Caenorhabditis elegans: one gene and its partner. The protein of the gene in region 2 interacts with the protein of the main gene of each other region in a pairwise test. Each region holds a gene or a part of one and is shown on either strand. Other genes may lie near its edges.

Region 1 (4,806 bases), on a different chromosome or scaffold from region 2:
ATCAGAGACAAATTCAAATAATTTACCAATTGAAATTGGAAATCAACTTGAAAGAGGAGAGCTACATGCAATATTGAACAATGGTTAGTTTTTTTTTAACTGTTTCACCAAGTTCATTAATTTTGGGCATTTTTGACACTTACGTTATATAGTTGTAAATGTATTTTTCCGAAAATCTCTTGAAATTTATTTCACTTACCACTTTAGCTCTCGCATCACAAATGACACCTAGAACAGCAGTCCTGACAAATATTGATCTTCTTGCATGGGATGCAGTTTTAGTGCTCCATGCCTTTGCGGACCATGGAACTTTTCCCATCCCAAAAACTGTACTCCTCCTAGCAGTATCAACAGAAGAAACTACTTATTCTGGGAATAGTTGTGATGGGAAAATTTTGAAGTAAGTGATTTTTATTTTTAAAATAAAAAGCAATTAAATTCCAGGCTTGTAACGAACCGCTGGATCGAAAATGGAGGAAACTATGACAATATTCCACCAATTGTAGCCAGGATTTCATATTTTATGTGCTTATAATAAAAATTATTTGTTTAAAAATTTAGTTTTTGTTTACTTGGAAATTGTGAAAAAATATGGAATTTTTAAACTTGGTTACTGCAATTTTGTTCACCGGGAAAAATTACTGTTTCAAAAGATTTGTTTAATTGAAAATCCTCATGTTTATTTGGTTCCTTTATATTAAAATTTTGATTAGAAAAATATTATTCACGAGAAAACAAAACAAGTTTTTAAGTGTTTCTGTGAAAATTTAGGGCAGATCAAGTGTAGATCACACAAAATTTTAGGGAAAATCTATAGAAATGCACATTTAAATGTGAAATTAGAAGAAGATATAATATGATCTACGTGTGATCTACTCAAATTTTTCTCAGAAACGCTCAAAACCAAAGGCTGACCGCGCGACAAAACGATTTTGAAAAAAAGTCCTCTTCGAACTCAGAGAATTTAAAATTTAAACTATATTTTGTAAACAAAAACAATTCTTTTTCCTGTTTGTTTTTTTCATCATAACTTTTTATCAGTTTTTCCGTTTATCAATTTAGGGTTCAGTTTACGAAAAAAATAAAAATATTTACATCAATTTTAAAGCCTTTTTCTTCAAAAAACTCGTATTCATTGATGACATTTTCGGTTCCTCATTATTAGTTTTTTTTTGCAGTTTTTTTCGGCATTTTCTTCCTCGATTTAATTCCCTCAATTTTGTGTGCACACAAGTGCTTTTTTTTGTGTGCGTGTTTGTTGTGTCTTGCCCCCTCCTCATCCCGTTGCGTCTCCTCAAAACATGACAAGTAGTTGAACGATAGAGCGAACTTGCATCTTTCGATTTCTCGGCTGGTGGGGCGGGCGACGTCGCAGCAGCACGTCTTCTTCTCGATGAGAATATCGATTTTTCATATCCCAACACGCACTTTTCATGTTTCAATTGTGATGGCTTTTCATTGAAATAATCCTTTTTTTACAACTGGGGTTTTTAGCTAAAAATTGGGAATTTTTGAAAAAAAGAAAATTTCACAAAATTGGTCTCTGGCTGGTCTATCGCTTACTAATTGTTTATTTTATAAAAATATTGTTTAGTTTCTCGTCTCACTGACGAAATCCAATCTAACACCATAGAAACTATAAACATTTTGCAATAGGAACTAGTGTTCTATTCGAAAATTGGAAATTTAATTGAATTTTTGATGTAATTTTCAAAAAAAAAGCTTGACTAACTCCGTCTGCGTCTGAACACTTTTTTCTCAAATTTTCCAAAATTTTGCAGTATGGCCCACCTCTCGTGGGTAAGAATTTCAAATGCCACACAAGATCCCGAAACGCGGTGTTCTGTAGCCCAAGATCAGATTGTTAAGGTGGTCCGTGAGGAGGGGGATTGGTCAGTGCCACGTGGCAGTGCCAATTTATAAAATCTTAACATTTCTAGGTGTCACATTCAAACCATCGAAGGGGTTTCCGGTCGGGTTCCCAGAGTTCTTACATTGCCCATCGTCGACCCGAAAAGGTTTTTGCTTTCTCTCTAAAAGATTGTCGTTTCACAAGATTTTGAAATTCCTTCTTAAAGGCGCACGGATTTATTTAGATGGGTCTCGGCGCGAAAAAATTTTGCGATTGTTTCTTCGTTTATTATGCGAATTTCACCGCTTTGTTTTTAAATATCAGTTTTCAAAGTACAAATACACTCTTTTTCTATAATTTAAGATTATCGATTTCCTTTTAACTTAAATGATTTTTAGCTGACCGAGAAACAGAAAAAAATTTTAATACAAATTTTCTCTGTGTTTTGAGCACTGAAATAATTTTTAACACGAAAAAAAGACTACCACAAACTTATTCGCGCGCCGAGACCTATCTGAATGAACCCGTGTGCCTTTAAAATAGCATGGCAAAATTTTGTGAAATAACAATATGCATTTCATTTTATCTGAGACTGTTTCTATATTCTTGCAGACAACCTGACGAGCAGGTGTATTGCTCAATTGAAGCTTACACCTCTATCCGCTCCGATGATCTCTCATTTGCAGAATTTTCAATCTTTGGTATATACTTTTTCCAACAATTTATTTCTCTAATTTTTGCAACCAATCAGTTAACTAACCAATTTTATCAATCAATCACATTTTCAGTAGCAAAACCGTCGCGTTCAAATCCTGGTTATCTGGACGGATTCCTGGTGAATGACAACGCTGTTCAAATAGGACGCCGTGGATTGTTACCGGAGGCACATTTGGTCAATTTGCATGTTTCTGCTGAAAGTCCGATGAAGCCGTCATTCACCACGGATTTCAGTGAGGCTGATGTCCGATTTCGGACGCCTGCCACTGCTCCGAAAGCGGCAACTTCGAATTATGCAGTGTCGCCGTACGCTAGAGCTGTTTATGATTTTCAGTGAGTTTTTACGTTTAATGAATTGAAATTTTTTTTTCAAATTCAAAAACACATTTAAAAAATTTGTCTTCCAACGTGGTGCCCACTTTCAGTTTTTTTTCGTTGATAATTTCGCTAATTTTTACCAATTTTAATGCTATCATCACTAAATTGTGCTCGAAAACCAAATTTTTAATAGAAAGTGCGTAACAGTAAATCAATATTTAAATCACTTTTCAAATATGCCAAATATTTGCATTAAACACATCTCTATCAAAAACCAAAAAGTCAGGAAAAAATATATATGGCAGTTGAAACGGGAAAAGTGTTACGCCTTTTTAAACGATTTTTTCACAAATTTTTGGATTAAATTGGTTAAAATACATAACTAAAATATGATTTTATCATGGCCGTTGTAAAGAAAAAAGTTAGCACGTGCAAGAAATAAAATATTACATGAAGATTAATTTATTTTTACAAACTTTCCATTAAAAATGTGGTTTTTGAGTTGCAGTAATAATCTTGACTCACAAAATATCTGACGCTTTATTTTTTGTCATGACTGTTTTGGGTCTATGAAAACAAGTAGAACTAGTTATAGGTAATTTTTTGTTGGCTGAGCATTTTTCAATAACATTCCTAGTTCTCGAGTTATACTCATTTAAAATGGATACTTTTTTGGCCAGTACTACTGTATCTTATTGTGAAATATTGTCACGTCAAAGTAGGATAAATAATGTGTTTTTATTCAGTTTCAAAATTCATTTCAATCTTCTCAATATTCTAATTTATCTATATATTTTCCAGAGGCGAATTTGAAAACGAGCTCTCTTTCTCTGCCGACGAAATCATCAGCTTACGTCGTCGAATCGATGCAGAATGGCTTGAAGGATCGATAGGATCTGCTCGTGTCGGAATATTCCCCACTTCTTTCGTTCAAATCATCGTTGATCTACCTGACGATGACACTACATCGCTTCAAAATAACCGACGAAGCACGACCACCGAGAATGATGGAATCGGATTTGCGAATGTTCGGCACGCGTTTTCCGGTCGTCAAGGAGATGAGCTGACTGTGAATGCTGGAGACACTGTTCGAGTACTACGAATGGTCAATGATGAATGGGTTATGTGCAAGGATCCAGATACAGAGAAGACTGGAATTGTACCTGTAGGATTTTTAGAAGTTTATCTGGATGAAGAAGATGACGATAATCAATCTTCAAATGCTATGAGGCGTGGAACTGGAGGGACCAGCGATTTTACGGTGAGACTTGAAGAAAATAGGTTTTTATAGTTAAATCAATTATTTTTTTTCAGTTTGGTAGCTCCAACAATCGTTCCTCCTTCATCTCAAATGCTGAATCCTCATCCGATTGGAGACCACCCGCTGGAAGAACAAACACCGATTGGGCAACCTTTGAAGCAGTTCCACCGGCAGCGCCTGCATCAAAACCTGCCCAAAATTGGGCAACCTTCGGCGAAGAATGGATTGCTCCAGTTCAGCTAGCAAAGACTTCAGCTCCAGCCCGACCACCACCTCCTAAGCAAAGTTCTATTCAATCACCTATCAATGATATTGGCAACGTGGCTGACATGTTTGGAATGACAGATACTCCAAAACCAAGTAACCCTGCGATCCAGTCTGCTGGCAGTGACTTCGAAATTGGACTGATTTCCGCCACCGAAGGAGCATCAAATGATGAGGATAAACGATGCAGAATCATTGAGGAGTTGATAAGCTCGGAACTACAGTTCATCAGTGATATTAATTCCTATACAGAGGTATAGTTCAGGGGTGCACGGCATTTCAGCAATCGACAATTTTATCTTCAAAAATTTTTATACTGTTTCAAAATTTTCATTTAAAGTCTGACGAAAAGTCTATGACACTAATACGTCTGGGCGTTTACTTTCATTTACTT
Region 2 (6,929 bases):
ACGGGCCTCCTAAAAAAAAAAAAGAAACATGGATGGAAAGGGTGTGTTATATGAAATTGGACGAAAAATGAAGAGAATACAGAGAAACGAATGGAACTTGAGAAGAACAAAAACAGGTTTTCCTGTGGAGATGACGGGGGGGGGGGGGATTGGCTAAAGGCGTCGAAGATTTATAATATCTTCCTGGTCGCGTTGCGAAATGGATGGATGGACATTGGTGGCAAACGGGCGGTGGGGGAAATGGCAGAAATTGCAAGAAAATTCTGAACGAAAAACTTCTAGTATGTAGTACTTTTTTGCAGTCGGTGACGAATGCCCCGCTGCTGCTTGGGTTGAGGATAGCTCATTGGCAAATAGAGAAGTTACGAAATATCTGAACAGGTTTTTTTTTCTGTTGACACGTCATTCATGCTTGTTTTAAATGTTTCCAATATTTTTAATTAAAACTTCCAAAAAAAAAACCCTCTTAAATTGATAAATTGAGAACTTATAATTGAAAATACAACAGTAGTAATAAAAAAATGCTAAAGTTGAACCAGTGTTTATTAACTCCATATTGTTCACAGAAACAAAAAAAAATAACAAGCATTACATCAAATTGACAGAATTTCCAAAAAAATTAGCTATTAGACTCTGTGTGCTTCAGAGTTTGTTGTTCGGGTAATCGAGTTTCTCCATCTCTCGGTTGTTAGCATTTACATTTCCATGCGTCATCGATACCTAAAATATTTATTTTCAATAATTGGCATTTTCTGAATGATGGGTGGGGGGTGCAGCAGCGCATTTTTTTTATTGCAAAAAAAAATCTCACCTGTTGTGGATTGAATTGATTTCTAGAAATCTGATTCGATACAGAGTCATCAACTTTTCGCTGCTTCTGCTGAAACGTGTCATCCAGCTCAAACTGATTCCTCCACTCGTTCTGATCCTGTTGTCGTGGCCGCGCCCGTGATTGGAGGTGCTGTTGGGAACTGCTCTGCGCTTGTGGCATGTGCTGGCGTTGTTGTTGCTGTTGCTGCTGTTGCTGCATTTGCTGTTGCTGGAGCTGCTGTTGGAGTTGAGCCTGTTTCTGCTGCTGCTCCAGTTGCGTTCTAGAAATTTCTACATATATAATTTTTCTCTCTTTAGTTTTAAAATTTCTTGTCTATTTCGAACACCACAAAATTTTTGGTAGTCTCCTGATGACGCAATTATTTTCTCTGAGTTTGTGTCATAGGAGCAGCTGTCCAAAAAGTCCAAAATCTCATAAGGTTCACACGAGACCAAACTTTGTACTTGTACTTACCGCTGTGTCTGCTGATACTGCTGCTGCTGTTGCTGTTGTGGTTGAGAGTACTGATAGTTTGGATTGTGGTAATTTTGCTGATGAGCAGAGAAGCGTCTTCTCCCAGCATCAACTTCCATGGCATCTCCTTCGTCAAACGATGATGTGACGGAAATTGGGTTGGCAGAAGATCCAGGCGCCTGGCGATACATCCCGTTATCTTCCACATAGACTGATCCAACCGACGGAGATTCCATCACTTGACTCATTTGGCTTGACGGCTGCTGTATGTACAATTGCTGTTGTTGCTGAAGGTTCGAGTGAGACACCGGCTAAAAAATTAAATATTGAAAGAAAATTTAAAAAATTTAAATTTTAATAAAAATTAAAAATTAAATTAAAAAAAACACACCGGTTGAGATGGAACTCGCTCTTCCTTCTGCTTCAAGAACGGATGCCGAACCACATAATAGGGCGAAATTCTTTGTTTGGGGTCAAATTGCAACATTCTCTTTATTAAGTCTTTGAATTTGCTGTAATCTTCAACAGAATGTCCTGGCTCTCCAAGCCGGCGACCTCCGGGCCCGCCAGAAGTCACACCCAGAATTTCGTGAAGTTTCCTGGCTCCAGGAGCTTTGTAGGTATGGCGGTATCCGTCACGAGTCTTCTTACAATAGTAGATCCCATCCTCAGTTTTGTCAAAATACTTGTGTGTTTTCGGGCCAATGTCTAACATCTCTTTTGGTGGCATACCAAGAACTTCCACAATTTTCATCATTTGGTCAACCTCCGATGACCCGGCAAACAGCGGCTCTCCGGTGTGCATTTCGACGAGAATGCATCCCAGGGACCACATATCAATTTTCGTGTCGTACGCGATGCCGAGCAGCACTTCCGGCGAACGATAGAATCTCGACTGAATGTACTGGTAGATTCGGTGTCCAGTCTGACAAGAAGATCCAAAATCTATCACACGAATTTGAGACCGCTTCGCGTTAACTAGTAGCACATTTTCCGGCTTCAAATCACAATGGATAATCGATAATTCTGGAGATGACAGGAAGAGAAGAGTTTTTCCTAATTGCTGGGCAAATTTGCGTGCCAAATTCAACGAAACGCCACGGAAACTGGTGTTCTTCAAAAGATCATAGAGGTTGTAGGAGAGAAGCTCGAATACCAAGCAAAGATGAGCCCGATGCACAAAGTGCCCTTTGAGCGTAACTGAAAATTTGAAAAGTTGATTCTATCAACATTGAATATGTTAATATGTCATGCAACTTACCAATATTATACTTATTATCCTTGTCATGTGCATTTGTCAATTCTAAAAGATGAATCTCAATCTGAGCTTGATCGAAGAAAGTCTTCTTATTCTTGATAATTTTAATAGCGACTTCTTCTTTATTCAGCGTGTCGTAAGCTTTTGTAACTTGCCCGAAAGATCCTTTGCCAACCGGCGTGTCACTGAGAATCACGTATCTGAAAAATAGGCTGTTAGTCAAATAAGTTTCGTGCTTTCAGCATACCTCTTGTCAAATATCTCTCCATTTTTAAGAATATAGTCGTAATTCTGATCGTCATACCCGTTATTGTACGGACCGCCACGACTACTTTTCTGTCGCTGCTGCTGTTGAAGATCAGTCTCTGTGCGCATAGGAACAACCATTGTTGAGGTGGGCGGAGCATTAGTGTCAAGTAGAGGAGGACTGAAAGTCAAAAAAAAAAGTGAACTCTTCAAATATCACACGAAAACAACATACGCATTTTGATGAGCATCTTGCTGATAATGATTATCAGAACTCGTAATTGGAATCGCATTGTGAATGGAGAATGTGTCAGTCAGGCTCGCCCCGGAACCATCCTTGGATCCCTTTGGCTTTCCGGCATCTTGACTCTTGTGACGATCACGTCGAACCTGTTTCCGTAGGTAGAAAGACTGAAACTTTTATAGCGGTATTAAGACTCTCTTCCATCTTCGCCTACCTCATTGATAGCCTTGTAAGTTTTGATGAGATCACTGGTTAGTTTTCTGACTGGCGCGTCTTGAGGATTTCGGAATTGTTGAATTTGGAGTGGCTTTGAGGTAGCTGGAATGTGTACAATTTATTTTTATTTTTTATTCTTATAATATTTTCACAAAAGCTAGCCAAACTTACATTCAAACGGGATACCAATCATTCCAATTCCAGCCGGAACAGTATCTGTCGAGAACTGGCCAATATTTCTCTGAAACTTTTGAGACATATGTGTCAAGAAGTTGAATCATCTAGGCTGTACCTTCTTTGCGGCTTGTTTTTCCGGAGGCATTCCGGGAGTTAGTGCCGCTTCTGCATTAGTCATGGATACGCGATGCTTCTTTGGCCGGACTTGGGTGACCTGAAACTTGTAAGATTGCAACATTAGAAGGTACTCTAGGATCAGTCTGAAAAAGCGCTTGCAGAATTTGGAGCGGGGGCAAAAACTATCAAAGGACAAAGTGATCATTTCGGAGACTGAAAAAGTTGTTGAGGTTGGGCATGGCCACGAATGTGCAGAGCGGTAGTATAACAACAGGAGAGACAAAACGTCCGCACCGCAATGCAAACGCAAATGCTGATTTCTTGTTGAGTGTGTAGAAAAGAAAAGAGATAGGGGGAGAGGAAATGATGGGAGAGAAGAGGGAAAAGAACGGAATAGTGTAAAGCTCGACTTTCGCCCTTCAGTGATTACTGCCCTGTTGCATAAGAACACCCGATGAAGGAAATTATGTGAAAACCTAGAATTGATTGCTGCAACTATGTGAAGCACGTCGGTAACTGATAAGAAATTTGAACAGATTAAACTAGTTTTTTTTTTGTTTTTTGAACTAATAAGCAATTAGTTAAATACTAAAATACTAAAAAAATTAATAGCAGAACACCTAAAATCTTGATAAATTACTACCATTCAAATTGAGAAAAAAAATCAAAAATTTTGGTAATGTTCAATTAGTAGGCTTCAGTTAACAGGTTAATTTTAAATGTAAAAGTAGTTGATTTTGAAACTTTAAAATAAACAATTCTACTACTCATGGGATTTGTTGCCAAACAAATTTAAATCTTAACGTTGATGATACTATTAAAACTGTAAAATAACATTGAAAGCTTGCAAATACAAAAGTTCATATTTTGATACAAAAATGATACGAAAAATCTTCAGAATCCAATTTTTTTTCCATTTTTTTCCAGGAAAACGGCAATTTTCTATTAATCACAAAAAATCAGTCAATCGTTATTTTTTTTCAAAATCAGATTCTTTTGAATCACGGTTTTATCAACGTAACAATGGCAACGGCTCATAAAGCTTTATTTTTCAAAAATAGATTTTAGATTTAGAAATTAAAATGAAATATTTTCCAAATATCATCATATTTTATAATTAGTTTATTTTTGCAAATTTGAAATTTATCTGTTATTTTTCAAAATGAAAATTATTTACAGCAATGTGGGGGTGAGCAGCGTTTAAATATTCCATTTTAGAATGATGTGATTTTTTCAAACACAAAAAAAAAAACGTTCTACAAACCTCTTGCTGTGGATAGAAAGCGTGTGAATTCGTCTTAATTGAAGTGATTGGTGGCTGTGGGAATCTCAGAATGTTGGAATGTGGTTGACGGCTTTGTGCAATGAAACGTTGTGCATTTTGCTGTTGAATGTGTTGCTGCTCTTGCTGTTTTTGCTGCTTCTGAAGTTCGTCAGCTTGCACGTCTTGAAGTTGAAAGTCCTCGTTCATCGGTTCGGTGTCGCAAAGATTATTGTGATTGATAGGCGGAAGATTAGTCATTTGTGAGTGTTGCTGGGTATTTGAGTAACTTGATGATGGTTGTTGGCCCCATGATTGAAGATTGTCAGGCACGTCTGCTGTGTTCATGTTTTCCTGAAATTTTTTGAAAATTTGTTAAAATCTTCAAACTAATTATGACAATTTTCAAGAGAACGAGCAGAATAGAGTAAATCAAAAAAAAAAACATAAAAATTTAATATTCAAAAGAGAATATAACAAGAAAAAGATTAAAATTCACGGAAAATTGCAATATTTGAAATATTTGAAAAAAAAATTAAATTTTACAAGAAAAAAACAAGTAGTTCCACTACAATTATTTATGAAACGATAAAAATTCATTGGAGAGGCAAAGAGAAACACGGAGGAGAGATCACATGTGAATGAGAGGGCTCGAAAGAGTGTGGTGAGCGGAGAGAGTCGAGGACACGCAACGCGACACGCAGCGCTCTCAACAACTGATGAGAGAGTGGGGAACATGGGTTAACGGGGACGAACGGAGTGGGGACGAACGGTGGAACGATACAAAGACACAAAAAGTTCTGCAGCTGGAAATGGTTCGAGCAGGTGCGCCATCTGCCACAAAGAGTTACATTTTACAGAAAAAAAAGTTCCAGGTGGATTATGTATTTAAAAAGGGGTGTATTGAAAAAGTATAACACGTGATATTTGATAATAAGACCACAACTTAAGGATTGTGGTTTGAAAAAAAAACTATTTTATAAAAATGAAAACTTAACATGAGAAATCAAGAAGATTTGCGTTTCGAACCCCGTAAATTGAACTTTTTGTTGAGATTTCAATGCACTTCGAGATAATTGAGGGTTTTGCTGTAATTTTGAAAATTTATTCTGAAACCTTTAACAAATCTTGAATTAACATTTCACATGGTAACACGCATATAGTTTGAGAAGTGGAAATCATTAAAAAAAGTAATGTTCGAATTCTACCTCTGGGAAAGAACTTATTTATATGGGAAAACTTGAATAAAACTTACGCTTTACGCACGTGATGCCAGGCTGTCCCACTACGGTTTGTTCTACAAAAAATGCGGGAATTTTTTGCTCAAAAAAATGTGACGTCAGCACGTTCTTAACCATGCGAAATCAGTTGAGAAGTCTGCGTCTCAACTCCCGAATTTTTTGTAGATCTACGTAGATCGAACCGAAATGAGACACTCTGGCACCACGTGTTTACGGTGTATAAGCATCAGTTTATTGTCGTTTTTTCTGGCCCGATCTCGGGATATTTTTTTCCAAATAATAAAATTACAGGTGGCCAAGCAACATAGTATTTTGAAAACATTTTAAAAAAATCTTTGAGTTTGTCTATAAAATATTCTAACTCTAAAAATTAGCTGCGTTTTAAAATATGTATCCTCAAAAACTAAGTAAACTTATATTAAAGTACAAAATTGTATAAACACGTCTAACACAATACAAAACACTTGCAGAAAATAAAATGTTTTATTTTGAGTCTTCTATGAAACCATTTCAAACATATAAAACATGAGAAATAAACCTTTCCAAACTCAAAAAAAAACTATAAAATATCATAGGAGATTCGATTGAAGTTCCTCAAGAAAAATCTACTGACAGCTGCCGTTGGTGGACTCCTGCCATACTGAAAGTGCATTTGTAAATTTAAAGTTCATAAGAAATCCGTGCTCTTGATACCTTGATACATACTTGATACAACAAAAAACGAAAAAAAAAATCAAAAGCTATTCAGAAATTTGTGATGTTTGGTTTCAAAAAGATACTTGTTTATCGCTTTGATCTTTCAACTTTTTTATAATAAGAATTGTTTGCTTATATTTTTTATACGTTTCAGACATTTGAATTTTTATGCGGTTGTTTAAGTGTAT

Evidence for each region.
Region 1: the proteins of mbk-1 (region 2) and dnbp-1 interact in a two-hybrid assay, tested with the Caenorhabditis elegans proteins (one large-scale study listed by BioGRID).

Annotation. Positions count from the first base shown.
Region 1 is NC_003282.8:13,976,816-13,981,621, reverse strand, and holds the start of dnbp-1 (SH3 domain-containing GRB2-like protein), read left to right. Parts: upstream 1-1,774; 5' UTR 1,775-1,782; coding exon 1,783-1,892; intron 1,893-1,940; coding exon 1,941-2,018; intron 2,019-2,092; exon of another isoform or gene 2,093-2,113; intron 2,114-2,198; exon of another isoform or gene 2,199-2,219; intron 2,220-2,464; coding exon 2,465-2,553; intron 2,554-2,640; coding exon 2,641-2,902; intron 2,903-3,026; exon of another isoform or gene 3,027-3,047; intron 3,048-3,133; exon of another isoform or gene 3,134-3,154; intron 3,155-3,688; coding exon 3,689-4,148; intron 4,149-4,201; coding exon 4,202-4,666; intron 4,667-4,774; exon of another isoform or gene 4,775-4,795; intron 4,796-4,806. Other genes in the region: gei-18 (GEX Interacting protein), read left to right, coding at 1-83, 208-400, 445-535.
Region 2 is NC_003284.9:14,819,383-14,826,311, forward strand, and holds mbk-1 (Dual specificity tyrosine-phosphorylation-regulated kinase mbk-1), read right to left. Parts: upstream 5,159-6,929; 5' UTR 5,153-5,158; coding exon 4,808-5,152; intron 3,641-4,807; coding exon 3,542-3,640; intron 3,491-3,541; coding exon 3,421-3,490; intron 3,352-3,420; coding exon 3,248-3,351; intron 3,201-3,247; coding exon 3,025-3,200; intron 2,971-3,024; coding exon 2,791-2,970; intron 2,744-2,790; coding exon 2,547-2,743; intron 2,486-2,546; coding exon 1,677-2,485; intron 1,597-1,676; coding exon 1,286-1,596; intron 1,092-1,285; coding exon 812-1,091; intron 721-811; coding exon 643-720; 3' UTR 527-642; downstream 1-526. UniProt on the Caenorhabditis elegans protein: Possible role in the function of olfactory neurons.